Linked DNA regions of Drosophila melanogaster. Changing the gene in region 4 together with the main gene of any one other region gives a genetic interaction. Each region holds a gene or a part of one and is shown on either strand. Other genes may lie near its edges.

Evidence for each region.
Region 1: of svp (region 4) and psq, changing one suppresses a phenotype caused by changing the other (phenotypic suppression), as found in Drosophila melanogaster (one study listed by BioGRID).
Region 2: of svp (region 4) and rin, changing one suppresses a phenotype caused by changing the other (phenotypic suppression), as found in Drosophila melanogaster (one study listed by BioGRID).
Region 3: of svp (region 4) and phyl, changing one suppresses a phenotype caused by changing the other (phenotypic suppression), as found in Drosophila melanogaster (one study listed by BioGRID).

The regions. Positions count from the first base shown.
Region 1 is NT_033778.4:10,555,115-10,562,463, reverse strand, and holds the start of psq (pipsqueak), read right to left. Parts: upstream 4,577-7,349; 5' UTR 4,088-4,576; exon of another isoform or gene 3,931-4,087; intron 779-3,930; 5' UTR 660-778; coding exon 510-659; intron 439-509; coding exon 274-438; intron 1-273.
Region 2 is NT_033777.3:13,643,558-13,650,803, forward strand, and holds the start of rin (rasputin), read left to right. Parts: upstream 1-3,446; 5' UTR 3,447-3,643; exon of another isoform or gene 3,644-3,712; intron 3,713-3,825; exon of another isoform or gene 3,826-3,989; intron 3,990-5,264; exon of another isoform or gene 5,265-5,360; 5' UTR 5,361-5,511; coding exon 5,512-6,940; intron 6,941-7,246. Other genes in the region: sqd (squid), read right to left, coding at 2,196-2,362.
Region 3 is NT_033778.4:14,425,707-14,435,166, forward strand, and holds phyl (phyllopod), read right to left. Parts: upstream 6,632-9,460; 5' UTR 6,388-6,631; coding exon 6,202-6,387; intron 3,039-6,201; coding exon 2,022-3,038; 3' UTR 1,630-2,021; downstream 1-1,629. UniProt on the Drosophila melanogaster protein: Essential adapter component of E3 ubiquitin ligase complexes; involved in R7 photoreceptor cell differentiation, embryonic nervous system, external sensory organ development and specification of particular muscles.
Region 4 is NT_033777.3:12,278,294-12,285,318, reverse strand, and holds the start of svp (seven up), read right to left. Parts: upstream 4,210-7,025; 5' UTR 3,725-4,209; coding exon 3,070-3,724; intron 1-3,069. UniProt on the Drosophila melanogaster protein: Receptor that is required in photoreceptors R1, R3, R4 and R6 during eye development; generation of the ganglion mother cell-2 (GMC-2) fate in the nb7-3 lineage, coinciding with the transition in the expression of HB to KR in the neuroblasts (NBs).

The DNA.
Region 1 (7,349 bases), on a different chromosome or scaffold from region 4:
CAGAAACATTCACATATCGACACCTTTCAATTGCGAGAAATATATAAATAAATACTTCCGCCTAATTAAACCCATTTTATGGCAACACATTTGGAAAGATATGATAAAATATAAACATGAAAATCTAGATAATTATACTCGTACATCAGATACTTCCGATTTCAGATGAAATTCCTTTGTATTTCTATATATATTCTCTATTATATCGTTCTTACAATGATAAATCTATTTTAGAATCACCTGCAAAAACTAACAACTAGTATATCGACTCACCTGTAATTCCGATTCGGTGACGTCGATTTCACCACGATAAACAAAATCGATGATCGTTTTCAGGTCGGTGAAGATAATGTCGGCGGGAAGGATAATTGTGGGATGTTTGCACGGATTCTCGAGCAGTAGTTTTTGGAAATACGTCGAACAGGCGGACAGGACGACCTGGAGTTTTTGAACAAAAGTTTGATTAGCTTCATAACTATAGTGTAGATACATATATCGAGATACTTCACCTTGTGCGCCTTGAGGGATCCATGCTCGCAGGACAGAGTGACGTCCACAAAGGAGAGATCCTCGCGCAGCTGCTGAAACACGGACGTCATCGTGTTCTGGTAGTTATTCCAGCGCAGACTGAAATACTGATGTCCTCGAACCGCTGCCATTTCGTATGGTTTTTCGTATTCGTTTCACGCCGAATCCTAGCTGAATTCCTGTTGCTCACTTTTGTTTATGCTTGTGGCGTGCTCAACACGCTGCGGAAATGTGTGTATACTCCAGTATACTGCGGGAAAAGCCGAAGAAAATCATCAATTTAATGCGGTTCACTCGAGGAGTTGCAATGGCAAATCATCAATCAATACAGAGACTTTAAGGACAACTGGCTGCATCCTCCTATCTGAGTTCTTGGCGAATTGCCGTTCCCGATGCAACTGAACCACCACCAACCACATGTTGAAGATGCCACAAAAGGAGTTGCAGCCAGTCGGTCCATTGTGTTCGAGAGCCTTACAGCGCCTTACAACGAGTTACAGGGAATAAGACGCAAAGTGGGAGGTGGCGGGCAGGGGGGTGGGGGGTGGATAAACTATGCCGAAGACAGGTAGGAGGAATAGTCAATGGCTATCAGGCTATGCAGGTCGAATTGTAAATGCCCTATGGGAAATATGGTAATTAACGATTGTAGCACCCTGAACAGCTAACATAAAAATAGTTTTTAAGTTCTTGAAGTATTAAGTTCCCTTCAACTCTCTATTTTGATAACTCTATAAGAATAATAAAACTAAAAACGTTTTCATTCAAGTTCGTATGAATTGAAGAACAATTTTTAATTACTTTTGAACCGAGACTTTAGCACTTTCAAGAGATTTAGATCACAATATGCTAATGCATTTGAAGTCCTGATTTTCAAAACAAACTTATTAGTTTCTATCCCTAGAAGGTTTTCTGTAGCAGCCTATTTAACTTAAGTTTAACCCACCAAAAACAATTTAGTATGCTTTCCCAATCTGTTTAGAGTAAAAATAATCCAATGAATATGATTACCGAAGAGAATCAAAATTACTTGTATATGAATGAACATTCCATTCAAGCTAATTTATTTTGTTTTATTTTCGAACATAAGTTACCTTTTTTTTTAAAGCTTATGAGCTCAACGAATAGTTACTATTTTAACTTTATTTAGTGCTGGTCATGTCGCGTGGTTTTTAGCACCGCCGGAATGGTTTTGTTTTGCACATTTTCATGTAAAATGTTGGGCCAGGCCAGAAGGAAGAAAACCGAAACTGAAACCAGTTTTCAGTGAAACTTCATTTTTGTATGCCCTTTTAAAAGGGTATCATAGTATGGTCACATGTTTACAACAAAATAAATGGTATTTTCAAATAAAACGCTCTTTTTACACTACATTTTTCCATTTACTACTAGTTTTTAAATTAATTAACATTCAAACAAAATCCCCAAGTAGCAGTTAGAGTATCTGAAATCAGTGTTTTTCGGATTAAATTCCCTTTCTCGTTTTCAATGGCACGTATTGGTGCCTGCAAGTTGTTTTTGCTAGTTGGGGCATTGTCAAAAAAAAAAAGGAAGGAACATAAAAAAGAATAATAGGAATGCTGAAAGGATGCTCGAGGAGGCAACTTGCCGTGCAAATAAAATGGGAGGCAATGGAGCGACGAAGAGGCGGACAGAGAGGAGATGCCAACTTTTGCTTGCAACTTCCAATGCGGAGGCTAAAATGCAACCACAATTTTATGCCGAACAATAAGTCAGATTTTCAAGGGATTTCTTTATTACAAAGTTACAGTTGCCACAGTGGATACTCAAAGAGATGTTTTTGATTTGATTTATTCGAAATCTATCTTTGTTTACAAATTTCGAAGTCAAATTAAGAAAAATAATAAGAAAATTTATAGTTGCATTTTCCAAACTTGTTTTATTTTAAATTATTTGCATTTATTGTATATGTAAAAGTTTACGAGCTTAAGGCTGCTCCACTGTATTTGCATTTCATTTCGCAGAAGACTCGCAATCAAAACAAAACGGCGGCAAGAAAAGGTGTGAAAGAAAGAGGAAGACTAGGTGTTGCCACCCACTCGAAAATCGGCGGGCCTCTCAGCCGCGCTCTCTCCATGTCTCTCTCTTCGTTTCGGACAGAGAGACTTATCATTAAACGCGCATTATGCGGTCCGTTCGTCCGCGTTGTTACTGCTCTTCTTCTTACATTACTAGACCAATTCCACGTTTTTTTTTTTTTATATTGTTCGTCCCATTGTTGCCTTCTCGCTCACACACACACATGCAGCGATTTGCCGCCTTTTGGAGCCTCTTCTTCTGCATTTTCCCCGTCTTTCTCTTACTTTGTGCATGTTTATTTGGCAAATGGATAATGTGTGTTCGTGTTTTTTGTATGTTTGTGCTATTGCTTTTTCACTTTTTCTTGCCCTTTAATATTTCCTCACTGCACTTTATGTTTCTACACCCTACCCGACCTACGGACGGCCTATTGATTCTTATAAGATCTACATTGATGATTGTAACATCACTGCATAAGGCAATGTAAATCTTTATATAAAATGATAAGTACGTATAATTTAGAACTTAAATAAAATAAATTTATTCGTATTAATTATATATGAATGCTTTTAACAACCTTCATCTCCTACAAAAAGTAAGTGCTATACTTTTGGTTTATTTTATTAGCAATCTTGCACTTTGTACTAAATATTTATTGGATTTTGGATTGGATTTTGAGTTTTTTTTTAGCCGGCTAGAAATGTTTATTTTTGCTAGTTTTGCTTGACTTAATAAGAATAACAAGAGTTTCTGTTGCAGAATAATGAAATACCCACCCCACTGTGTCGACTGTGACCACTATCAAACCCTTTTGTACCCACTGTGGCATTCCAGGCAAACCAACTTCGTTTTCGTTACGTCTCCTCTTCACCCGTGCATGGTGTGCATGCGAGCGAGCGAGACGGCAATGTTGCGGGGAGAGAGAGAAGAAGGGGACAACGTAAAGTAGAAGAAGAAGAAGAAGAGGGGGGGAGGCAAAGGCGCAAGACAAATGACAGCGCGCTACGAAATGAGTGAGTGGGTGAAGGAGAGGCGAAAGAAAATGGATTTTAAACATTTTTGTTTTGATTATTATTGTTCTTGTTCGTCGCAAAACTTTGCAAAGTAAAAGGGGCAAAGGGAGCGCAAAAGCGGAGAACACAGTGAGAGAGAGAGTGAGAGGGAGCAAGAGTTGGTGAGCGGTGTAATGCAAATGTAATGCTGAACAATTACATTTGCCAATTGAAGCCAATTGAAAGGTTTGCAGTATTTTGTTGCTTCTTTCTTTTGCCCATTTATTTGCACCCATTTTACTGCACTCTGCAAACAACAAATATGTTCGGCTCTTATTTTTAGTTTAGTTTGTGGGGCCTCTGTCCTTACCTTTTCGCTATTTATATTTGATTTTCGCTGCTGCTGCAATTTGCCGCCTGCCTTTTTGCATAATAATAGAGGAAATACGTCAAAGAGTTCCCGTTACGTTGCGTATTTGTTGTTGCTTCTAGTTTATTTTTTTGTATCGTACTGTATGCGTATTTACCGCCAGTTTTGTGTTGTTGTTTTTGCTGCCGCTTGTCGTGTGTTTTTGTTGCTTCTGCTGTTTTTCGTTTGTTGGCCTTTTTGCTTTTCTTTTTTTTAAATCAATTATTGTATGGTTTTTTATTTTTATTTCTCGCTACGCCTTCTGCTTCTACGCTCGCTCACTAACACACGCGCGCACGCACCACACGTACACACACACACACGCATTGCGATTGGTTTTTCATAATTCGCAAAGCAAGAAACTTAAATTTGATTCTATTTGATTTTACTGGGCTGGCACGCTATCGCTACATATTTCTTGCCATTTGGCTAACCATTTGCATTGGCGCCGCACTTTGACCGCTTCATAATGGGCCGATTAAATTTCTCAACCGCGCTTTTCCGCACTCTTTTTCGCGCACGCACCGAATTTCGCTGGCAAAACGGAATTTAAAATAATAATTATTTTTTCAGCTCGTCGTTCATCGGAGTGCTCGTGTTCGCCATTTTCGTGTGGCGCTGCCAGATCGCCGCAAGGTGCTAAAATGTAGCAAAAGGTGCTCAAAGGCTGAAAACTACTTGGGTAGTGTTTCCAAATAGTAGATAACTTGCTTTAAAATTGAGTGAGAACTCATTTGGATTTTCTATTGTGTAAAAAACTGTATTATTTATGCAACTACTTATTAGTTTCTAACTAGGTGGCATCGCCTTATCGGGTCTTCTTTGCTTCGCCGCTCGATTCAGCTGGTCGTCCCGCTTGCACCTATTGCATTTCCTATATTGATTTTTTTGCTACGGACTTTGATATGGGCGCGCAGAAACTGAAAATTCAAAAAATTAAATATTACAAAATGTACGTTAATAAAATGATGTATCTTCATACATTTAATCAGTTCTTTTATAATGTGAAATCCATAAGTGCTTCCAGGATTAAATGAGTTTTTTTGCTTGTAGAATTATTTTATTTATAAATATAATGCTTTAAAATTGAAAGTTGGAGGTTTTCCGTAATACCAATAAAAACATAATATATAAAATGCTTTAGAAGTATTGAAATATACATTTATTTCAAGCATTTATTATTATTTATTGAGTTTGTAAAAGGATTTCTTACATGTAATATACATTTCAGAGCTGCCACCTAGTTGCGCAGCGAGCCCAGCGAAAGCTGGTTGCTATGAAAATATCGACTGTCATTATATATTATCGATATGTTGGCGCCCACTCAGTTCAAATTCGAATGCAATAGTCCCATAAAACTCGATCATTACACTGAATTTTAGAAACTCGTTTAATGCTCGTGTGCGTGCAAGTCATGATTGCTAAAATGCCAGAAACTCTATGTATTTATAATGAGCAAATAAATATTCGCCACCAACAGTGCTCGTATTTGCATAATGAAGGCGAAACCATTCAAATGAGTTGCACTTTTTCCGCTGTCTCAATTTGTATAAATATGTGCGAGTGGGTGGGAGTCGCCTAGCCCCCATAAAAAACCATAAAAAAAACGAAGCTAGCATACAAAACGACTGATTTGCAGCGTAAACCATATGAGTTTGTATGTACACATTTAGGTACATATCTATATATACATATAGAGATTTGCATTTGGATGCGTGGAGCCGCGGGTAAAAGCTAATAGCTAATGGAGAACTTACGTGCCAATTGACATTCATGAGTCCCAAGGCCGAATACATTAAAATAATTGCATGTTCTAGCTCCACGGCAATGGAATGGTGAATAGTGAAACACAACATCAGCAGCAAAAAAAAAAAATTAAACATACATAATTGTAGCATGATCGGATCGGGAAATAATTGCTCCGGTTTTCCCACTTTCCAGTGCGGAAAAATCAAACGAATGTGGGCCGTGGAAGGGGGGGCCTGGAAGTGGGAACCCATTGAGGTCGTTCCAGCAATTGACGTGTGCACCTATTTACCCGACGAAAAACACGCAGCTATGCTATGCCCATGTACATATGTATATAGTGTATATGCCTTATAATTATAGGCGCACATAGGCCACCGAAATACCCATCCCCCCTTTCCCCCCGCCACAAAACCCACAAACGCACCCTACTCCATTCGAAAAACCCCATTCGGCAGACCCATAAACATGCTATATGCATTTAAGCACACACATATCGCATTTGCTTAGTTACTTGCACTGCGGATTGAGTGGCGGGTGGAACTTTTCGTGTCACGAGGCTGAATCATTTGAGTTAATCGGTCAAATCTAAATATATATACTTATGCCAAAATATTATAGAATACCTTCCATATACAATTTCAAATATTTAGAATTCATTTTGCCCAAACTCTAAATCTAAATCTAAATATCTTAAATTGCACAGGAACAAAGAATTTCATAAGTTTTTAGGAAGAACTTTTAAGAGTTTCTGTGATCATTTTATTGCGGAAAAATCTCCTATAAATGGCATAAATATGAAAGTACATTGTACAAATACATAAATTAGCAAAACTTTAAATTTAAGATTATGTTCTATTTTATAAGGTAGTGTAATTAACGTGTAGAATAGCTAAAAATACAATAGGTTCATATGAATATTAAGTTGATTTTATGTTCGAATGCATTCATTGTTTTCAAAGGTTTCTTTTTTGGAGCAATTTAGATACATAGCTTTAGCTGCAAACTCAATGCTCCTATAAATATTCATATTAAAGTGGGAGTTTCAATGCTCCCCAATGTAATCCCAGTTAATCAGTATTGATTTAACATGCCCCCACCACCCACCAAAATTCCCGTTGACGTGCCATCTCTAAAAACACACACACGCACAGGTTCCACAATTAGAGAAGGACAAACAAACAAAACAAAAGATCCCCCACACCAACAAAGAGGCCACAACAACAACAACAACAACAGTAATTGGGATCGAAATGGAAACAGCGCGCTGCTCCAAAAAAAGCATAAAGCACGTAAATGGAAAATGCACAGAGTGGGGGAGCGGAGAAAGAAACCCGCTGGAGAAAGAGAACGAGAGAAAGGGGGCGAGAGAGAGAGAGAGAGCGATTGGGAGTCGGAAAATGAGAGTGAGCGCATTAGAATCGCTCTGCTGCAACAATTAATGCATATTAAGGTCAGCATTTTGCCCTTCTGCTCTGCTTTGAAAAAGAGACAAGTGTGGCCCACAGGTGGCGCCAGTGGTTCTAAATTACAACTGGCAAAAGGTGTAATATTCTAAGGTTTACACCAGAAAAACAAGAAATTTGTGTTTAAAAATCATAAACTTTATAATATTTTTACTTGTAAAAGTAATA
Region 2 (7,246 bases), 1.4 Mb from region 4:
AGTTCGAGGAGCGAGCGAGCGATCGATCGAGAGACACAAAACGAGCGAAAGATATAGATATATAGTATATATAAGATATGCAAGAGTGAATTATTAAGTTTTTGTTTTGGGTATGCTTAAGAGTCTTTGTCTGTACAAATAACAATTAACAATTAGTCTTTATTCAATAGGATGAGAGAAAAGAATGCAAAGGTTTTTATGCTGGATTGTGGTTAGTTTTACTTTCTTTATTTGGCTGTTTATTTTATTTTATATTTTTTTTTTTTTATAAAAAGGAATGTTGAAAAAATATGCAGACACTTATAGTTTACTATGATGTGTACGTTACTCATTGATTTCTGGACTTTTTGGAAAGATATCTCATCGTTCTCGGCGGATTCCCGGCAAATTTGGAACAGTCTCATCACACGGCGGCGGAATTTCGATTGCAATTTAGTGATTTGTGCTTCTTTTTTGTGGCAATTCGTTACGTTACATTCGTTCATTGTGTTTCTTTCTTCGGGCGATATATAATGTATAGTTTTTGAGCTTCATAAAACAAAACGAAAAAACTGCGAGTCTCTTTTTCACTCGGTCTCTCTCTGTCTCCGATTACTTGGTACTTTTTTGTTTTTCTTTTTTTTTTAGGTAATTTACAAGTTATACGTTAAGAGATACAATACAATATATACTCGTATACAGTTTACATATGGATCCAATTTTAAATCGAGATTATTTCTTGATAATTTTGTGTGTTGATAGTTCTATATATTGGCTGACTGACTGATTGTTTGTTTGTTTTAGTTTTGGATAGATAAATACCATCAGCATCAGTATCGGCGGAGCGGAGACTTTTGGAGACTGGAGTGTGGAGAGGGTTGCATATCCTCCAAGTATAAGTCCGCCGAATCCGAATCCGAATCCGTAACCGTTTGCCGGGGGCAGGAATACGAATCCAAATCCATATCCGAATCCATATCCGTCTTGAGCATAGCTTAAAACCCTGACCTGGGGCATTTCACTTCTCTCAAAACCTGCCGGAGAGGAACAAGGTTAGTTCGCTCACAAGACAACAGGATAAGCTATGATTTTCGATTTAATTTCTCCATTTCGTCCTTCTTCCTTTACGGGGAATAATCTGCATCTGCTTCGTCAGCGCTGGTTTCGTATTATCGTTTAAATGTACAGTATCGTGTGACTTAAGATTAAACTTAGATATAAAATGATCATAAAGGATGGGCAAATGAAGTGTACGCTAGACCTAAAAACCAAAACGCAGGGGAGCAAACAAGAGGACCATTCTACTTGATCATCATTATCTCTATGCTTTAATCCATCAAAATTATTTATCATTTATAATTTACATTAATTGTTCGTTAAATTAATATTTTGGCGCCTTGGCAACTCCAAACAACGCCGGCTGTCGCTCTCTGAGAGTAAGAGCGCGCAAAAGAGGTGGCGAGCGAGCGAAGCCGGCAAGCAAGAGAATAAGTGAAAACTGCAAAACACGCACACACCTACAGAACAGCGGGCGTTAGGTTGGTATGTATGCCTGTATGCAGCCGCCATTTTGGGTACAAAACTGGAAGAGCACAAAATAACAACGAAATAGCCGAAACAAAGAGTAATGCGAATTAAAAAGAATACACTGACAAATACAAACATAACTTTTTCCAACGTTTTTTTTCGCCACATTTTTTGCAAGTGAAAGGCAACCGTATGATTTGTGTTCGTATGCGTCACAGTGTGTCTGTGGGGCAACGTGGGAAACAAACATAACCTCACAAAGGGGAGAAAATGTGCTCCTAGCTTAAGAAAACTCTGGTTTTCATTGCGGAAAGTGCGTGTGTGTGCAGGGGAAAACGTTGAAAATTTTCCATGTCTCCCGAGACTGTGATGATGCATTTTGGCCCGAAGATTCTATTAATATGACTGAAGTACAGTCGCACCGACACCTCACACACACACACTTAAACACACTCCGACGCACGAGCGCAAGCGAGAGAGAACACAAAAGGGGTCAGACTTCCCCCGCAGAACCCCGTAAAATCCAATGAAACTCGACCAACGACGTTAGCTTTGCATTTACGTAACAGAGTAGGCAATATACACTATGTAGAAGCAGAAAATCTATGGGGGGCACATGATCATCGGTTGCCCGTTGCAAAAATAAAAAAGAACAAAAAAAAAACGTATCCGCCGGATAATGGACATACCTGTCGTCGTCCCGCTGGCCGGATGCGGCCGATTGGTTGTCCGAACTGCCGTTGGTCGAGCCGGCGGCGCCCGCATCACCATTTTCAGATCCCGGACCGTCGGCAGTCACGTCCTTGGTGAAATCCTCGCCGTTTATTTCTGTATCCACTTGCTTGTTCTCGGCCATTTTGTGTGTTTTCGACTGATCTACTAATTTCGGGGGCTAGGCAGCACGATATTCGTTTTTTACGCAGAGCCGGAGATTTTTATACACACTCGCCAAAAAGTCGCGCGTACGAATGAAATGACGACCGGAAAATGATAAATGCAAACGACAGCGTGTGTATATGGGTGCGGCGTTGCCACCTTGATGTTTTCCCAGTCAAGTCGATTTGGTATTATTTTGGTAAATATTTGTATTGTATTTGCTTGCTCTACCTGGAGATTGTTAGCTATACATTTGCCAAGGATTAAATTGGGATTTTCTGTACGATACCACCCCAAATAAGCCTATATAAGGAGCTAAATGGGCGCGTGACTTGTCTGCTTGCAGTATGGCAGCTTTGATTTATACAATGTACACACACCTATGAAGAGAAAATGAAAAGAATACCAAAAATTTTATACAAATATTTTAAAGCCCAGTTTACACAATGGACAAGTTACTTGGTTTATAAATTCATTTTAGTTGTATTAAAGGTTTAAATATTTAAATAAATATTAAGTATTTCATAAACATTTATAATTTTATAAATATAAAAAATACAATGTTCATTATTTACTATGTGTTGGGAACGAAAACAACATTTACATACAAAGAATTGTTTAAAATCGAATTTTCATATTAACTTCTTATAGGCTGAAACATCAACAATATTTTAAATCATTTAATTGGTTTATATTAAATATTTTTATTTTTTGCAAAAATTTATACAATTTTCATATTCGGATTTCCCAACAGGTTATAATATAACGTTATTATGGTTTTTATTTATTTGCTATATAAAATGTTTCCTTTAAAGAAAGGTGTTTCATGAGCTTACTCAAAAAATCGGAAATGGCTAAAATGAAAATAAGTTTTATAAAACTATTTAAAAGAAACTTAGCGCCCCTAAAATGAGCTTAATTGAGCTCAAATATGAAAATATCAAATTCATCAAAATATTCTATGGAACATACTAGATTAACCACCCCAAAAAAAGAAGTGTGTGCACACCCTTGGAAAAGCCGCCATCATTCACACACCAACACACGCGAAACCAAGAATAAAACTGTGCAGAGGCAAAAAAGAGGAAAAGAGGAACGAACGTCGGTTCTCTTCTCGATTCAACACACTTGTCCAATTTCATTGCGTTTGCGATTATTTTCTACTCAAAAGCCACAACATATGCATCGTAACTTAATTCAACAACAACTGTGATCGCCAAACATCAGAAAGCAACAAAAAATACACGTCAAGAATTGCCAAGTTAGTTATTCTCAAAAAAAAAGACAAAAAGAATTGCAACAAACTAGACTAGTGTGTGTGTGTGAGCGAGTGAGTGCATTGGTGTGTGTGGCTGTGTGTTTTGTGTGCAGCTTGCAATTTTATACTGCATTTCATACGTTTCGACTATCGTTTTGTAAATTAAAAAAACCGCATAATTTCAGCGCTCCACTAAGAAATCCAACTCTCCCCGCCCCCCGCAGGAAGATAACAAAGAAAAGTGCTACAAAAAGTGCCGATTTTTCGGCAAACTTCAACCCAAAAGCAATACACACTGTGCATTACAAAAAGGAAAAATAAAAACGAGGAAAAATATCGCTTAAAAAAGGTGAGCCGGCGACGGCCTCGTGTGCGCGGTCTAGAAAAACTAGCATTTTCCATTTTCAAAGGGGTGGCGCATACTAGGAAAAAATCAACATAAAAAATGCTAAATGGGCGTATATTTTATTATTGCGGCAGGGCTCTATCTCTTAAATTTTTTTTTTTACCATTTTAGCGGCTTTTTTTATTATCGCTTGTGCATAACCTAAAAATGTACGAAAAATTTTGTTTTTGTACATTTTTGTTTAAATGCTGCTCTTCAACTATAGCTTTCTTTGTTCTTCCTACACACGCGGTTCGCAAGCAGAAATAGAGTGGGAAAGAGAGAACCCGAAAGAGCGGCGCGTTCATAACCGAATATGTGTGCGTGTGGGTTTGCCGCAACTCATTGTGCATTTTTTGTTTTATCGGCAAATGTTTATGGCTAAAATGGGGCAAAGGACACCTGCAAACATTGATATTTACTTACACCTTTTAACGCTATTTCAAGTGTTTTTGCAAGGCAGCAATTTGATATTTTGGCCAAGCTGGAGTTCATTGTATGCGGCGCCACAACCTTGAGACCCGAACATAACCTCAATTTAATTCATGCTCCTCGCTTGGCGGCTTCTTTTTTTTCTTTGCCAAATTGTATGAGGTCATTTACTCGCGCACACACACACACGTGCAAAGTTCAGTCAGCCAGGATCGCAGGCATAAAAGCTGGAGCACGTGCAGGGTTAAATGTCCTGCGACGGCAAGCAAATTGGAATTTTTCCTGACAGCTGCACTACACCAAATTTCCCCTTTTCGCATGTGCAAATGTGTGTGGGCCCCAAAAGTGGGTCAAACTGCAGCGCGCTGCGTCTGTTTTATATGCACTGCGGTAAAATGAGCTCCCTGTTTTGGGTGTACAAACCTCCCCCCCTCCCCGCCGTCCTTGTGACCAAGCGAAACTCTAGATCCTTATTGGAGAGCACAGCAGGGGTCAACACTTTGGTAGTCAGTCACATTTCTCTAGAAATTTATGTAAAAGAAGCACAGATTGATTTAATGGACAGTCTGAAAATCCAATTAAATTTGTTTCTTATATTTGCGTGTTTTACCGTTATCAAGCCTTAATTCTCCAAATTAAATTTACACGTGATGAAATTAACTGATAACACAACTAGTGATTCATTATGGTTTCTATACTTTTACCGGCACAGGTATGAATAAGCCATCTTTGAACACCTTTTGGAGATTGTAAGAAACAGGGTAGCAGCTTCCTTTAATTTCAAATTATCAGATTGAAAAATCTACACAGTCGTCTAGGACTTTTGCCAACTTTTCTTTTTTTTTATTAAAAAAACCAGACAGATTTTCATAGTGCGCGTATATTTTTTGCACTATTTCGCAGACGTTCCCACACTCTCAATCGACACAGATCAGCCACCGTGTCGATAGATCCGAGCAGCAGCTAGAAAGAAGGGAAGCAGAAATTGGAAGCGGAGACAAAGAATCCGAGTCGAAGAGTCCGTAGTTCAGAGAGGAAGAATCAAACGCCAGCTATGGTCATGGATGCGACCCAATCGCAGCAGCCTTCGCCGCAATCTGTGGGACGCGAGTTTGTCCGCCAGTACTACACGCTGTTGAACAAGGCGCCCAACCACTTGCATCGCTTCTATAACCACAACTCGTCGTACATCCATGGAGAGTCCAAGCTGGTGGTCGGTCAGCGGGAGATCCACAACCGAATCCAGCAGCTGAACTTCAACGATTGCCACGCGAAGATCAGCCAGGTTGATGCCCAGGCCACTTTGGGCAACGGTGTGGTGGTTCAGGTCACCGGGGAGCTATCCAATGATGGCCAGCCGATGCGGCGTTTTACCCAGACGTTCGTTCTGGCCGCTCAGTCGCCGAAGAAGTACTACGTGCACAACGACATCTTCCGCTATCAGGATCTCTACATCGAGGACGAGCAGGATGGCGAGTCGCGATCGGAGAACGATGAGGAGCACGATGTGCAGGTCGTCGGTGGCACTGTGGATCAAGCTGTGCAGGTGGCCGGCGATGTAGTTGCCCAGCAGCCGCAGCAACAGCAGGCTCCTCCGCAGCCACAGGCTCAGGTCGTGGTGCCCCAGCAGGTAGCTCCTGTAGCGGCCGGTGGTGCTGCCCCACAGCAGATCTTCTACCCATTGCCAGCGGGTGCTGCCGCCGGACGTCCTGTGGCTGTTTTGCCACCAGCTCCGCAAGCCGCTGCTGTTCCACTGCCCGCGCAGTTCACCGTTCCGCCGCCACAGCCCATCCAGAACGGTGTGGTGTCGCACGAGGAGCTGCAGCAGCAGCAGGTGCTGGTCCCACCCAGCGTGTCTCCCCTGGTACAGCAGCAGCAGCCGACCGGCACGCCTGTGTTGCCCATTGTTCCAGTGCCAAGCGCGGGCTTCCAACAGTCGCCACTGGTGGCACCACAGCTCATCCAGCAGCAGCAGCAGCAGCAACCGGCACAGCTGCCCCCGCAGCAGCAGCAGCAGCAGCAACCTATCCAGCAGCAGCAGCCTTTGCAACAGCAGCAACAACCGCTGGCTGAGCCCGAGGAAGTGGAGGTGGCGCCAAGGCAGCAGAAGCCTCCCACGCCCGTCGAGGATTTCAAGACCATTCACGAGCAGCAGCAGCAGGAGAAGTACGAGGCCGCCAAGCAGCAGCAGAATGAGCCCAAGACGTACGCGAATCTCTTCAAGTCCACGTCCTCCTCGCCCAGCGGCTTTGTGAACGCCGCACTGCAGCAGCAGCAACAGCTCCAGCAGCAACAGCAGCAGCAGCAGTCCATCAGCAGCAACACCTATAACTCTTCCTCGGCAACCTCGGGTGGCGGTAATGGCAGTCAGGTTAGCTACTCCACCACCGCTTCGTCGTACAACAACAGCAACGGCAACTCGCGACTGGACAACGGTGGCCCGCTGCCGCAGCGAAACAACTCGATCCGCAACAACAAGGGTGGTAAGTTCATCGTTCCACCCTTAAATTAAAAGGGGTCATTCCCCTCTATTCGGCTTCAGGGTAAAAAGACTAAAAGATGTAGTGCAAACTTTTGGATCTCATGTAGAAATGAAAACAGTGGTTTCTAAGAATTACTTTTTTAGTCCCCTTATAATTTATTATGATTGGCTTACGTTCAGATTTTTAGAAAGGTAATGATTCATTTTGTTGGTTTACTTTCTTATCAACTTAAGGTTGGCTTATATGATAAGCAAAATTGGGTACCGCTTTTTAGAAACTCTTCCTAATAACTTGCTGTTTATACTT
Region 3 (9,460 bases), on a different chromosome or scaffold from region 4:
ATAATATTTTCGTGGGAGGGGGGGGGAGGGATATATGTGGGGTTTGTGCATGCCCCACAGGCTCTTATTGTAATCACATATGTAGCAGGGGTTCAAACGATCGCTTGATTCAGCTTCCTGCCGCTGGGGCTTTATTGCCGAATTCACTTTTAAATTTATGCTAATTAAACGTGCTCAAACAGGAACCGAACGAAAACCAGTCGAACATCTCGTGTTTTCCAGAACAACTTGCACTCATTAAGCGAGAGTTCATCTCAAGCAAATGGATATAAATATAAACCATGTGAATTATCGCAGTTGAATTAGGCATTAATTCCTTGGCAGTGGATATAATTTAAATATTTTTACATACATCTTATGAGTATGAAACGTGTTTCACAGATCGGTTATATCGATATTTAGAATAATATTTATTTTAAATAAACGATTTCCTTAAGTACGTTTCTCACGGTGCATCACTAACCTTAGACAAGTCTACACTTTTTTGGCAAGACCGCACATCCTTGGACGGGCTAAAAATGTCGCACAGCACTCAATGATTTAATCTCTGACTGACAGAACGTAGAACGTGCCGTGTGGCAAGCCGCTCGAAGCTGCCTCAACCTTGACCGTCATTCGTAGGCGGCAGAGTGGCGAGAATCGCGAGGCGTAAGCTCTTCGCACGGCCATCGGGCGTATACGCGATTTCCGGAAACTGCACGCTCTCTCCGTCTCCTTCGACGTGGCGGCAAGTCATCTTCAAGTTCAGAAGGCACGATGAATTTTATTTATAAATAAAAGTAACCTTAGTCGCCGTCTCAATAAGGCGTACTTGAAGTGCGCGTAGAAATTTCCGCACCACATTATTAACGTTGCCAGTCATGTCGGCGAAACCACAATTGCCAGCCAGCCAGCCAGCCAGCCAGCCAGCCACTCAGTCATCAGTTCGTGTATTGATGAAATGCCATATTGTAAGCCAAAATAAGTATACGCACCGCTGTCTCAGTTGCATAAACAACAACAACAACGACGATGCTGACCTCCACACGTTCGTTCTCACTACGCAATTGCCTAAATCAAATAAATACGCTAGAGCATCAGAAATCAACAATTACACATCGGACTTTCGCACGCAAGGCGAAAACTAATGATATATGTATGTATTTAAGAGCATGTCGTTCGTTGGTTCTGGAATATCTTAAAATGGATTTCTAATGTGATGAATTTTCTTAGCTTTTCTATTAGTTAACTTATTAGCAAATATATTGCAGAAAATTTTTAAGTAAAACATAGTAATTTTAGTTAATTTAACAATTAACAATTTAATTTCTCGTACTTCATATTTTATGTTAAATATTGAAGAGAAATATTTTCTGTAGGAAAATTTTCTGCAGTTCTACATTTTGATTTTGGCGCCACAAGACAGAAAAATTAGAGCATACTTTTTGGCGCCGTGAAGAAAACAAGTTGGCAGCCCCAATTTAGTAACGAGAAAAAGTGCATACTTTTCAACGTAAAAATTTAATTGGATGAGTAACATTTGGCGGGAAATGTAAAATTAATTTGGTTTTCATAAAGATCACTCCTTATTCCTCGGAATAAATAGAAAATTCATACCACCCGTACATTTAAATATAAAAACATTCATTTATATACTGATTGCTTTTGTGCTATTTTTATTTCGCATGTTATTTTGAAATACTTTTGTCTTTTGGAGCAAACAAACAAATTCAACTACATTGGCTCGAGGGGATTCTCTTTTTTGTTTTTTTTTTTGGGTAAGTCAGGGATTTGCCTACGACTAATATGTATATTTTAAATATAGCTTTCCACATCCGTTAACTTAACATTCTTAGGTCTTTTGTTGTTTGTTTTGTGTGTGTGTGTTTTTTTTTGTCCGCTAATTAATTAAGGTATTTGACTAACAATTAAAATGTAATCGAGGTACTATTAACTTAGACATTTGCTAATGCTCATAATTTGCGTATTGTGCATGCAATTTGACTATTTTGTGTGCGGGGCATCAATTGGACCCATCGTTTTTAGACGAGGCTAATGCTAAGGCCCATTGGTAATCGCAGGCCAGCGAGTTGGATTGAAGCTTGGTGGGAATTTTGGTGGCTGTTTCCTTGTTTGTGGTGGCTCTGCGGTTCCAGTGGCGCTTCCGCCTCCTGCACCACTTCCAGTTCCGCTCGGCCATCCACTTCTTCCTCCTCCTCCAGCTCCAGCTCCATTTCTTGTGCCTGCTGGTTTTCCTTGTTCTCCTCGTGGGTAACCTGATAGCGGGCAGTTGGCAGGACTTCGGATATGGCGGTATCGAATTCCAGCAGTATCTCATCATCATCGAGGTCCCGCGTCCAGCGCGGCGCCTCTTTGAGCGGACTCATGATCTGCGGGAGTTTCGAGCAGGCGGGGTTTGATTCTGCTGAATATGCGGCGGGTTCTTCCCGACTGAGTGTGGTTCCCAGTCGACGGAACATGGCCACTACTTTGCCATCCACACTGGGCTGCGGGAATCTTTGGTAAGTGGGCGTGGATTGTGTATTGAGCACTGGTGTGGGTGTAGCTGTAGCTGCCACATCCTTAACCAGTCGCTCCACTGGTTTCCGGCGCGGCGCCACACACTCCACCTTGCAGATCGCATTGCTCCTCTTCTGGCCCTGCGGCCTAAGACAGACGAACACCGACTGCTGATTGCGCTTCTTGGGACTCCGCCGCAGACTCTCCACACAACACTGGCGCAGCACTCGGCTCATCCGGCTGACGGAGGCACTGCGTCTGCTGGCTCTTCGCTTCGAATAGACTATGGGTGCGGGTGTGGGATTAATTGGAACTTGGGGCTGCAGTTGGGGCTGCGATTGGGGCTGCACTCGCACCGTGGGTCGAACCATCGCCACCGGACGGAGCTTCGTCCTTTCCTGCTGCAGCACACTGTTGCCCATGTGCGAGGGACTTTGGCTCTGGCTTTCGGCCTCATTGCTGTTGACCGCCTGCAGGGAGTGCCAGTTGATCAGCCAGTTGTTGCAGCTAAAGCAGAGGAATTTGTCCTCGTTCAGGGGCTGAAAGTAGAGATATATAGGGAATAGATGAGTACGGGTAGTAGAAGTAGTTTTATCTAGACTATAAAGTTATTGCTAATCATAATATACTAATCATAACTATTCAAACTCATTTGGTCCTTCAATTAATTTAATGGCTGAGTAATAACCCATTTTATAAATTGCTTACTGCCTTAGACTGATATGTAGCATTCCAAGTAAAGGATAAAAAGCCATTAGAAAGAACCGAAGGCGGTTACATTGTAACTTGCAGAGCCACGAAGGCCAATCATTTATTGATTATAGCCATGAAACCGTTAAGGTCATCAGGAACCAACCTTAGAATGAAAATTGACCCAAATCCGATTGCGTGACTCGCAATCTGAAGCCAGGCATAACCCACAGAATAAACCTCTAGAAAATTACGATACGCCTATGCACTTAGTGATCGCTCGCGACACCCGACCACTACCACCACCACTACCACTAATGAGCATCCAGCCAGAGGTGCAAAAAAAAAAAAAAGACCATAACAATTCCGAAAAACAACTGCCAGACGACCCGGGCATATTAATTACCCAGCCAGACCTCAGCATTCCTCGGGTATCAATAATTTCGTGCACCTGCCAGCAAAAACTAAGCGCCCAGCGGTAGCAGCTGGCCCAAAAGGTACGGAAAACCAGTAACCAGTAACAAGCCAAAGGGACATTCGCTACTTAGTTCGAGCCTCGAAGGAAACTCGTTTTCGGCCAAGAGCCACGCGCCCTATCCATATATATAAAAAAAAAAAACACATAATGCCGAAGTGGAACCGAAGCGGGAACTGGGTTAAAACCCCAACTATGACGACCATTAGGCACGCGCATGCGCGACAGCTGCGCCGAGAAATTAGATAAAGGTGATCGGTACGAGGGTCGGGGAACCGAAAGGATCGACCAGGATGGCGATAGAGGAGGAGGAGGTGTGCAGGGTAGAAAGGATCAGGAGCGATTGTGGCTGGCTGTTTACCTTTGGGTTCGGCGCTGAAAAGGTGTGCTCCAAGGGCCATGTGTAAACGGTATAATAATGCAAATTGCAGGCCAGGTGCAAAGCAGACAGAAAGCCACACAAACACACACACACACACGCACACGCACGCACGCCGATCGCAGATGCACTGCGAGAAAAAGGTGTGCACTCCTAAGATCAGTTAAATATGGGCACATGAAAAATATGTTTAAAAGTACTTCTATTAGTTTGAAAACAACTCTTCGTGCTTCTGTTAATATAGCTGCATATTTACTCAATTTGTAATGTTCCTTTTTTCTAAGTGCATAAGAGTGGGAGGTGGGGGGGCGCAGTCTGATAAGGTAATTGCAACTGGACTTTATGGCACTGTCATTCAGAACTCGAGCTTATAGAGAACCCGGCGAGGGTGTTGTTCCTGTGGGGGAGATCGGTTGCCAGGCTACGATCACGGCAGGTGGTGTATGCCCACCGTATAGGGTTTCGCAAAAACGGTTCAAACGAAATTCTAACGACGTCCGGAGGGGGTGAATATATATATATTCTATGTGCATAGAGGGTGAGCTTCTAGTGTCTGATATTGCGGGGTTAGCTGAGGGTTTTTGTTATTATGAAATCGCATTGCGTGCGTCTCGAGCATTTCGTAATTAAATTGATTGCTATACACACAATACTAGTTAAGCACAATGCTTCAATTAATCTAAGACCGAAACATATATTCCGAAAATATGTGGAAATACAATCTACCAATATCTACCCAATATTTTAACAACCTATGTTAGCAACCACTTAATATTGTTTATGTTTTTATAGGACTTCGTTTTAAGAACTCTCATTCTGACTTTGTAATCCAATTGAACGGAAACCTTAGTAAAAACTATTTCCCAAAAATACCAAACTAAACGAAGACCTCTAAATGGAAATCTTGTCTAGCTTGGCACTTCTGGGACTTCGGCTGAAAATTCGGGCATTTGAAATCACCTTTGTAAACGCTATTCCAAGGGTAGATCCTTTGTTTGGATTTGCGCAGCTTAAGAAACCGGAATTTCTATCCAAAGATATTTGGCATTCTCCAAGGGTTCAACCACCAATGCTGCTGGGGAAAATCCCTTCGTCTCACAAACAATAAACTGTGAACTCGCATCCAGGTATCCGAGTTCAATAGTTGATATGCGAAAAAACTCACTCGAGACCATGAAGAGCTGATAAAGAAGCAGCAGCAGCAGCAGCAGAGGATCCAGAAACCCCGATGGGTTGGATTTTGAGTGCCGACCGGCAAATACAGCTGTCGTTTTGGGATATGGAAACGAAGAGAACGAACACACCGGGTTCGTTCACTGCCCGCAGAAATTGGAGCAATCTCGGCAAATCCACAGCACATCTGCCCTTTCGAGCAGGTTTATGTGTGCGCCGCCGGTACAGGTAGTCATGGGTAGTCATTTGAGTGAGGAGGAGTGCCTGTAATCCGAGACCCGAAACTCACTTCCACAGAAAAACAAGCCCAGGATCTTCAGCCAGGATCGATTTCCCTGGCCATCTTCCGCTGTCGCATTTCCCACACACACACACACCGCACTGCTCGCATATTAGAACAAGCTGTTAAAAATTATGGGAAAGGAATCGAACTAAGTGGCGGCTCTGTGGCACTGGCACATATGCAAAGTGTCCAATTACCAAAGGTTGTCGGGGAAATGCATCATCTGCTCGGCGACAGGATATGCAGTTTAAAGGGCACAGGAAAAGGTGGGCATACCACAAAACTAATAGGGATAAAGGATTTTGAAATTTTCATTAAGAAAGTAGTTTGTGATAGAACTACTAATTCCGAGACCTTAGTTCTTTGCAAATAATCACTTAAAAATATTAGAAAACTGCGCTCGAAATCAATCATCAAATAGCTTGCCACTCTTTTTTTCCCAGTGGGCTGCTGTGAGGGAGTTACCTGTACCTGCCTATAGAAGTGCCACCCATTTTCCCATTTTCCGCCCAGCGAAGTTCATCCCCTTTTAACCCAAAAAAAAAAACACACACGGATACACGCGCAGAGGGAAAACTTTGTCCGAAGGACGTTCCTTCGTTGCATGACTCATCCGCCGAGTTGCCCCAATATCGATTTTTATACGTTCCCCGCCTAACTGAGTTTTTATTTTTTTTGCTCTAAGTTGGGAAAAATCCATACCTGAAACTTGAATTTCGCCTGGATTAGCTGAACGATATTGGGTCCGGAGCGGGGCTCGTAGATATTGATCGTCTGGTTGGTGTGGCAGCCGCAGATGAGGCAGGTGCGTTTCAGGTATTCCGAGGAGGCGGCGGGTGCGGCAACGGCCGCCGAAGGATTCGCCTGCTGCTGCTGATTGGTAGACATCCTGGCGATTTTTCCCAGCCTCTGACGTCACCAAAGGTCGCACTAACTTCTGCCGATATTCGACTTTCGCACTCGTATTGTATTTGTATTTTCACGATTTTTTGGGGTGCCGCGAAAATGTGGCAAACAACAAATGCCAAGCGGCGAACGCGTGCGACAGAGCGAGAGAGCGGGGAGAGCGAGAGCGGGACAGCGAGCTACGGAGCGGCACGTCCTTCGCGTTGCACGCACAAATTTCGAATGAGCCTTGCTTGTCCTCATCGCATTCTGGGCACCACTTTCAAAATTTGTGCCTGCGGGCTGCCACATCTGGCAAATGACATGCGAGAGTGGCGAGCGTTGTCGGATCGATGGGAAAAATAAGAGATAAAGGATAAGCTAGACACTAATGAAATAAAAGTCATGCAAAATATATCATATTTTCAAATCATATATATATTTTCAAATATAAAACAAAATTTAAAAATATTTATTTATTTTTGTATAATTTTTATACTCAAATGCAATTTTTTGGGCTCAGATTAAGCCTGGTGTTTTTGAAAAATGAAAACATGTACCATATAACCCAATATTGCAGTGAGAGAAAAAGCAACCATAAGGGTGACATAGCCGAAACAAAACAAACAGGCGGCATATGTTCACATTTAAGGGCGCCAAAAGGGATGTTGACTGCTAGGATGACTAGTGCGAATTCTGAAACAGGAAACGGATAACAAAAGGCAGTGCCAGTGGAAATATGCAGCAGAAGTTTGACAATTTAACCACGAATAAAATTCTGATGACTGATATACTTTTATGCCAAATAAATATTTATAAAAAATAAGGAATAACAATGTTAATGATTCTTAACCTGCTGATAAACCTTATTTTATAATTTTATTGCCTTGCAAGGCGAATTGCCAAATTCATTCAGCGATCAGAGCCTCGCAAATTTTATGAATGAATCGAAAAGCACCGACAACTGTCTCCGAATATTTTGACAACTTGACCTATCTGAACTTTCGACACTCAAGCTCGTCCCTCGCGTCCAGTCCTTTGGATTTGCTTAAGCCGCCGAAGGAATCGGTGGCAGCTGCCATTGAGCGACAAACGCCGAATTTAATGTGGACGGCCTCCTCGACGGGCACTTATCATTATGGAGGACCCGCCGGCTCAACACAGAGCCCATATCATCCGCGGCACGAATAGCTTGCAGCATGTGCGCATTGTGGGCTCATCAACAGGCTGCCGAGTGCAGAGTCTGGTGCTCCCCCCAAACCCGTCGATCCTCCGCAACGGCGACGAAGCACCGACAGCAACGGCAGCTGCTCCAAAAACAAAAAAAAAAAAAACAAAAACACAAAAGGTGCGTTTCGATTTTTCGTTTTTTACCCATTTTTATGCGGCATTCGGGCAGTTCAATCATATGTTCTCTGTGTTGTTGCTCATTTTGAGCCGGTGGTGTTGCAGCTTGCAACCGGATTTCTTCGTGGCGACAGATGTTTCTTCTCCTTTTTTCTTTCGTCCGAACCTTCTTCGTCCGCTCCTCCGATTTGCGACGATCTTCTCAGATCGCAGACACTGGGTTAACTGGCGCTGCTCGCCGCTACTTTTACTACGCATCTTCGACGATAGTAAACAATGGAGTAAGGAGCAGGGAGTAAGGAGTAGGCAGTAGGGAGTAAGGAGTAAGTATGGGGCACGGAGGTTCCAAGCGCAATCGAGGCCTCTGATGAATGAATACATGAATGGAATCAGGCGAGGGAGTTGCGTGGCGAACGAATAATGTATCCGGAACTGGACCCTCGATCGATCGATTTCCGCGACATATGCGTATCAAATTTTCATGTAGATCTCTGGGATCCCAAGAGAGGAAGTGCCCAAGGTGCCAGGATGAGATATCGAGGATAAGAATGGGATAACGAAGTTTTTTTTGGAGATTTATGGTTAAGCATTTAAATATTTATTATCAAGATCTCTATTGTGATCCTATCAATATGTTTAAACAAATGGTTTTGGTGCATTTGAAAAAATTCGGTTTTTTGTATTCCCATTTTTAAATCACTGCTCTTATTTATTTTACTTCGACTTTGACTACGCAATTAAACACTATTAAAGCTAAACTACACTACGCAAAACTAAAGGGTACCGTCTAAAAACAATTATTACGCCATTGTTTGTTTATTAATTGTACATCAAATTTTTTTAATCTCTTATGCAATTTGACTTTAAGAGGAAATATATTTATTTTAAACATACCGTTGCCTTTAAGTGTCACACCAGCGACATCTATGGAGTCACAGCGCCAGTCGCTACCAAACAGTTTTCAAGAAATTACTGTAGGTGGCGCCTAACATTCAAAGCAAGGCGAATTGCGGCGGCGAAAAATGAATTCAATCGGTCTAGCATAATTTTGGTCAGTAATTGAATTTCTTTTGTTCGCATTCAGCGAAAACCATCCACAAGATCTATTATTTAGAATCCTGAATATCCAATAAATATTGAAATATGTAAAAGATATATCGTTGTAAGCGATTAAATATATTTTAATGTTATATCCAATACAATAGTATTACTAATTCATCTTCATCAAAATATATAATTCGTTCAGCTGTCTTACTATTTCTGTACTATGTGCAATAATATACCTTTATATGCTTCCAAGTTCTTAAAATGTAATGTAAAAAAAAAATGAAAAAAATATGTAAAAACACCACTCCAGTGGTGAGTGCACTCACAATTTGCCAACAAATAATCCGCTTGGGAAAATAAGTTTTATTTTCCAATTTTGAGGTTTAATGTATACCACTAATTTCCAAGAATTTTTCTAAACAATTTAGTAATATGTGCAACGTTAAGTCCCCATATGAAAACGTATACTTTAAACAACAAACGGCGAAGTAACAAAAGATATATAAATATATAACATAAGAACATAAGAACGATTTCAAGGTCACAGTTTGATCTCTAACTAAAACAGAATTTAAATTCATTCTCTAACACATTCTGGATTCACAGTTGGTTTATCTTACTTTGTCTTTAGCACAACTTTAAATCATTCCTTAATTCATTCCATACCAATCTTTGCCTTTAA
Region 4 (7,025 bases):
TAAAAAATTCGGACATTTCTCCTCATCTTTTCAAAGACCTGGGTTTGGGAGCCTGAGCTTGTGGGATTTTTTTTTTTGGGTTCTGAGCCTTAATTGCCGAACGTGGGAATCTATTTAAATGAGTTTGATGTAAGCTCGTTCGCGGAAAATGTACATACTCGTACATAGTACATACATATAGCTGGAGCAAATGGAACAAGCTGGAAAATGTCGGGATTATTTATGCTGCCCCAAGTTGACAATCTGTGGCTGGCGGCTGCACTTCACACACATTATTTGTGGCAGCTAATGGGCTCGGCTGGCGCTTAACAATTAGTTGGGATGGCAATTTTTTACAGCTCTTTATGATCACCCCCCACCATCACTCTTGTGGTCCTGCTCTGCTTACCCGATGTTTGTTTTAATTAATTGCATGCCAGGTACTTGGTACTTAGTGGTGCTGGCAATTTTTCGCAAAATTTATTTGTCATTGTCATGTGCGCGGTGCGCCACTAAGTTATGCTAATTCCCATTTTGACATGGGTGCTGAGATAGTTTTCTTGTCGAAATTGGAAATTCAATTGGGTTCCTAGAAATGGTGGCAGTAATATTTTGTGCAAGCTTGCCGTTGTTTGTGCTGCAGCACTAATTGATGGCTGTGCAACTAGCCGAGAGATACGGGAAATCTGAGCTTTTCGGCCACACTAATAGCCATGACAAATAGCCAAATTAATAGGTGATACAGGGGGCGGGGGCAGAACGTAAAGGGATCTTGCCACATTAGAGCCATGCACTCATCATTAATATTATCGAGGCACTTTTATCAGCGCACATTTTTCAGTCGGCACTAAACCGTGACTTTTCCAGTTGGCTAAAGGTTATGGCTGCCATTCGCTTCGGCCTGCCGATGATGAGCTCAAGACTTTTGGCCGCTCGTCCTCCCAATTTCACCAACAGCTGGGCGCGAAATCAAACAAGTTGCCACCACAATGAGAGGACATGGGCAGGAGGATCTTCTGTTCAGCAGGATGGCAAGCATGATGAAGGGGGAAGGGGAATGAGAAGCGGACAACACGCATAAGCTACAATTAATCTTGCAGCTACGAGTACCGCGACTGGCGGGGTGTCTTGGCATAAATTCACATACCTATACCCATACCTATAGCTAGCCGTGTGCCCTGAAACCTGGAAACTGGACATACGGATAGACATACGGACAGAAGGGACCTCCAGACAGACGGACAAGTGAGCACACACACACACGGACACACACGAGTTTAGAGCTCAGACAGCCGAAACGAGTTGCCGCGCAACGGAGTGGTGTGGAGTGGAGTATCTTTCTTTTCTAAGAGCCACGAAAAGTATCTGCACCTCGAAGTGAATCAGCTGAAAGGACGCGACCAGGCACCAGAGTAGCAAACATAAAAAAAAAACCCTGAAAACGCCGGCAATGATATGGGCTCTATGCGCTTTATTATGATTATTCCTACGTTTTATTTCGCCAGCATTTGAGTGAAGCTAAAGCTACAGCTCTGCAGTCTGGGCGATTGCATAGAACAAAATAGATTGCTATCGTGGCAACATCATCAGGCCAACAGGCAACTACATACTATGCCACATGAAGGGATCCGGGGAAACACCTTCAGAATGCAACGAGGCGGTCACAGAGCCGCATATCTTCTGATTGTTGCTCTTGTGGGTTGCGCATGCGTACAAAATGCTCGGTGATTAATAATAATAGCAGCGCCCGCGAACGAACAGTGGGAGCCAACGGAGTGCCAAGTATCTGGGAATCTCTGGTATCATCATACCAATGGCCCACTGTGCCTCTGCCCAGTCATAGTCACTTCTTGGCTCTTAGCTGTGGCTGTGGCAGTGGCTTTGCCTGTGTGCTCCAGTGCCAGAACATTTGAAGAGATACGAGCATGACAAGTTCAACTTCAAGCTGCACTAAATGCCAGAGCGTATGCCAGATCTCCCTCTATCTCTGAATGCAGTTACCCATCTGCCCCGCCTCCCGCCTTCCATTGCCCATCTGCCACCCCTCTTTTCCGGAACTCCAGGTGAGGCTCCCCTTATCCAGAAACCCAGTGAGAGAGACAATAAGAAGGTGGGCGCTTCATTTAGCGGCCGCCGCACAATTTGCATGTTTGCACAACAATTGTTTGGCTTAGGACAAAGCACGGACCGTATTTTATTTAGATAATAATTTTTATCTGACGATAAGGCCGAGAGGCAGTGGGTGCCCAGATCGCAATATATGTATATATATATATATATGGCTATATTCAAGAGCTCTCGTGCTGCGAGCTCTAGTGTAACGGAATGATGGCCGGAGATGCAAAAGTATCTGAGTATCTGGAAAATCATCTGCCAGAACAGGGATTTTTTTTTAGATACTTTATCACCACTTTAGGGGCAATTGCAGCTGTAAAATTTAATTAGACACAATAATATATCAGCAAAAGACAGTAAGCTTATGCGCAAACATAAATCTCGCTGGGGTCAAACCAAACTATATTTTAGATCATAAATGTATTTTTTGCTCGTAAAAACATTTTTACATGATTTGGGGCCCCCGATCAACTAACTAGCTTTTGGGCTCCACGTAGGTTTATTGACTGCCCTGGCCCACAGATATACATTCCAGCTGCATCCCGTCAACTTTTGCATGGCCCTGGGAAGAATTCCCACTGCTCTACCATTCCGCCACACACCCACACCTGGCCGAGGGTTTATTGCCAACTCATCAAACTGCCATAACTCACCGAAACTGTCAAAAATCAGCGGCTGGCAGGCACGCTTTTGTGCTCGCTTTCTATTACGTTGGCCATTTCTGTTTGGTCATCCCCAGTTCGAATCCGAGTACGAAATCAATTGACCCCCAATTGCACCTTGGAGGTGAGATCGCTACTCAGCAATAAAAATTGCCAAGATGTGATGGTCCTCAAGATGGCACCAAATAGATACATTGACATGTATGGCATAAGCACAATTAATGTACTGGTGGAGTGGTAACATCCCTAGCTCACACATTCACTCTAACTGTTTCCCCCCCTATTTGAATATAATTTCTCGCAGTGTACTCACCTTCGCAGGTAAATTGTCCGTAGTGCTTGCCGGAACTCTTGTCGCCGCAGACGACGCACTCGATGTTCTGCTTGCTGTCGATCTGGGATCCACTGTTGCTGCTCTGCGAGTGGGAGCTATTCGCCTGGGAGCTGGGCGTGGTGCTGCCACAGCCCGTGGGCTGTCCCTTGATGCTGGTGAGCATGTCCTGGCCATGGCCCTTGATCAGGGGCAGCATGTCGGAGCCGTGTCCGGGATTGACGCCCGAACCGGAACCCGATCCGGAACCGGAGTGATGGCCACCGGCGGATCCACCATTGGCGCTGGGCAGGCTGCTGGACAGATCCTCCTTGATGCCAGGATGATGGCCGGATCCCGCCTGATTGAGGCTGGGGCAAGAGAGATCCTGCTTGATCACCGCCGACTGCTGGCTGGCCACGCTGCTCGGAGTGGTACCGCCGCCGCCCGTCGCCACGCTGCCGGTGGTGGTGCCCGGTCCGGCGGAGGCGGCGTGCAGGTGACCGCCGAGGGAGGCCGGCGGTTCGTGCCAGGCGCTGTGTGGCGGGACGCCCAGCCCCATCGAGCGGGACAGGCCGATGTCGAAGGCCGACAGCTCCGCGCCGGATTGCGGGCGCGGATTGAAGAAGCCGGGAGCCGTGGACGGGGAGGCGCACATGACGCCGCCGCCGTACACGCTCAGCGAATTGTGCGTAATAATTTTGGCGGCCGGGTCGGAACACGTGGGATAATTGCTGGAATACACTTTGTACGCACTTGGTACGGTTCACACTTTGGTTTCGATAGAGTCCTCGGCTCTAGCTTTTAACTTGTATCCTTTTATTCGTATTTGTCAGCCGCGTTATAATTCTTCTTCTTTATGTTAAAATAAATTTAATATTTTCTTTTAAGCTGCATATGCTGTTAACATTTCAGCTGGCTTCACTAATAAAACACTTGGTTTATTTTTGAATTTTTGAATTTTTTCGATGTTGCTTATTAATTTCCCGCTCGGCGCACACACGAGATATAATATCTTAAAGACTTGAAAATTTTTCAATTTCGGTATCTTTGCGTCATGCGGAGCAGCGAAATCTCAGCTGTTCTCGTAAGGCCTTTTAGAGCCTGACTGGCACAACATTCGTGGCAAAAGGTACACGACCCGACCCGACTCGACTCGACCGTTTCGACCTAACGACACATCACACAAATCTCTCTCCGCTCCCCATACTCAACTCAAACGGGCAGTGGTGCTGGTCTGCTCACTCTCGTTTAGCTGGCATTGCCTTCTAGTTGAGTGAAATCGCCGCTCTCGCTCGCTCGCGTTGGTGGGGCAAGACCTTCGACGCGTTTGGCTGGTTTGCCACCACCACTGAACCACCACCACCAGTGCACCCAGTATACCCACCACCACCACCACTGAACTGAAACAGAGTGGCTGCTCTCTCACTCAACGAAGCACACTCACTCACTCATCCAATCCAACTAGAACCCGTTTGCTCTTATTAGCTCGCTGTTGGGCGCATCTGTTAGATACTTTTACCGTTAAGGCTCTTTATCGCCGGACTTTTCGGTTTCGGGGGTCTCAACTTTTTGCCAATTTGTTTAAAATGAGTCTCCACCCCGAAAAAAGTTTTTCGGCGCTGTTTATCTTTTTGTTGGCTACTCGAATGTTTCTGCTCTGGTTGGCCAACCGCCTTAAAGTGCGTTCTACTTTGTATTTCACCAATTTCAGTGGCGCTTAAAGTCCGATTTCTTATCTGGAGGAAGAGTTTGGCGGCCATAATGCCCGTTCGCGGTTAAATGTTTGCTTTAAAGCTTCTTTTCTATTGGTTGTCAACCAAAGAACATCGAGCTTATCTCTGCTACTCATGAAGGTAGTGCGATGATAGGTGGCAGGATTGTATGTGATGCGAATAGATTACAATATGAAAAAGGTATATGATTGTAAAAAACCAAAAGAAAAACCGTTGCCATTTTTAAAATTATATAATAAAATTTATATATATAACTCATTATAGATCCAGTTGCTTTATTAGTTTTTATCGCATTGCTATTCAACAATAAATAAGCCAATATTTAAAGCGGCCCTTTATTGCTCTAAGCAATCAATAAATAGCTAACAGACTTGCTTTTATATGAATTTTATGTGATTAAATAAATGGGATATACTCAGCTATTGAAAAGTTGTCATTAAAATGTCTGTCAAGAAGCACGTGTTGCAGAGAATATTTATAAAATTTGCATTGCTTCCAGATACCGATTCATAAAATGTGAAGAGCAGTGGCACTCGATACTGACCCCAATGTCGCGCAACGAAAACGCATCGTATTATTAACGCTCAATATACCCGGGGACTGCCCCTAAATGAAAGTTTAGCAGCCGTCGTGGCCAAGTGAAGCCCACTGACTGTCGTAATATAATTATAATAATTTCCCTTGGCTAATTGGATCAGTGCACTGCAGTCCCTGGGCTCCTCGACTTGTACTTTGTTGACTTTGTTTACGTGTCTGGTGGAAATGTGGTTGGGGAAGTGCCAAAACATGAAATCATAACGATAATTGAATTCATTCTTAACGAGGACACCTCGCGCAACCTGATATGTCCATTTGGCGACTGTTACTTCTTGGTTTTTTATTTGAAATTAGCATTTAACTACCGCCCATTTGCACGCAACTAACTTCTGGAGAGTGAAAACTTAAAGGCAATCGCTGGATGCCACGCAACACTGTTGCCACTTCGTTTTTCATTCAAAACGGGTGGTTGGGGAAATGGAAAATATTGGAAAAGTGTCGCTGGCTGCAAAGCCAAGAGTTGCAGGCCAGTCCAAAGGGCCAAATTGTGGCCACCGCACTTTGCACTTCCCCGCCCACCTCTTGCCAACGAAATGTATGAGTGGAGTGGGTGGGCGCAGGGCGTAACGGGCCACGGAGTCTGGCGCCCTCTGTCGGTGGTTATCAAGGGGGTTGGGAAGGCCATGGGAAGGCCAGAGCGAAGTGCAAACGTACAATTGGATGATGAACGATACGCCACCCCGAGTTTGCGTTTGCACTCGAATAAGAGAGAGAGAGAGCCACCTCCAATTGGACTCGGTTTCACTCAGTAGCTAGAGTTTCGTCAAGTTTTTCTTGCTCTTTCGCAGGCCACGCCCCCTTAGCCAGTATATAGCAATCTCACTCTGACCAAGAGCTCCATCTCTCTCGGCTCCACTGCCATATCATTAACTGTATCGGAATTTCGCTCGTTTGCCTTTTTTCTGCCCCATAAAGGCGGCCGAAAAGGAACAAAAAGCATTTGGCTGGCTGGGTTTTTATTAACACCGCTAGATGTCTCTCTCTGGCAGCCCCGTTTAGGGTCTAATTCAATTGGCAGCGTCTCTCTTTCTCGGGCCATATGACTTATGTGTGTGGGGTCTCTGTGGCGATGATCTCCCGATCCCCCGAACATCCTGATGGCTCCTTTTCTGTGAACCTAATCCTGTGCTCCTCGCCACCTCTTGTTAGTGTGCCTCGCACTCGCATCCATGTTGGAGGTAACCCCATCTCGAAACCCAGCCCCATCCCTAATCCTCAATCCACTGGTTACATGGACTTCTGCGGAGTTCGCGCAGTCAGCCGGCACCTCCAACCCCTGTGGGTTAAATACTGACAACCCCATTTGAGCGCCTTTTTGCACTCGCTGCCACAGAAGCCCCAGTTTGCCTCCCTCCCTCCCACCATACTACTCTTTCCCTTCCTGGTTGGCCATTTTTTGTGCTCCTCTTCTGCTTTGGACAGTTCATTGAAAGAGGATGGTCCTCGGGGGAAAAGTGGGGAGTAAAAAGTGGAAAGTGGACCCAGCTGGGCGGAAAAAGCTGTACGTGCAACTACTGTTGGCCAGATTGGAATGTGTTCCGTTCTTGTGGTGCAAATATAATATACACATGAAAATATGGCCATTTAATAGCTCAAAATCCTTTTCAGTATGAAACTTAAATAGAT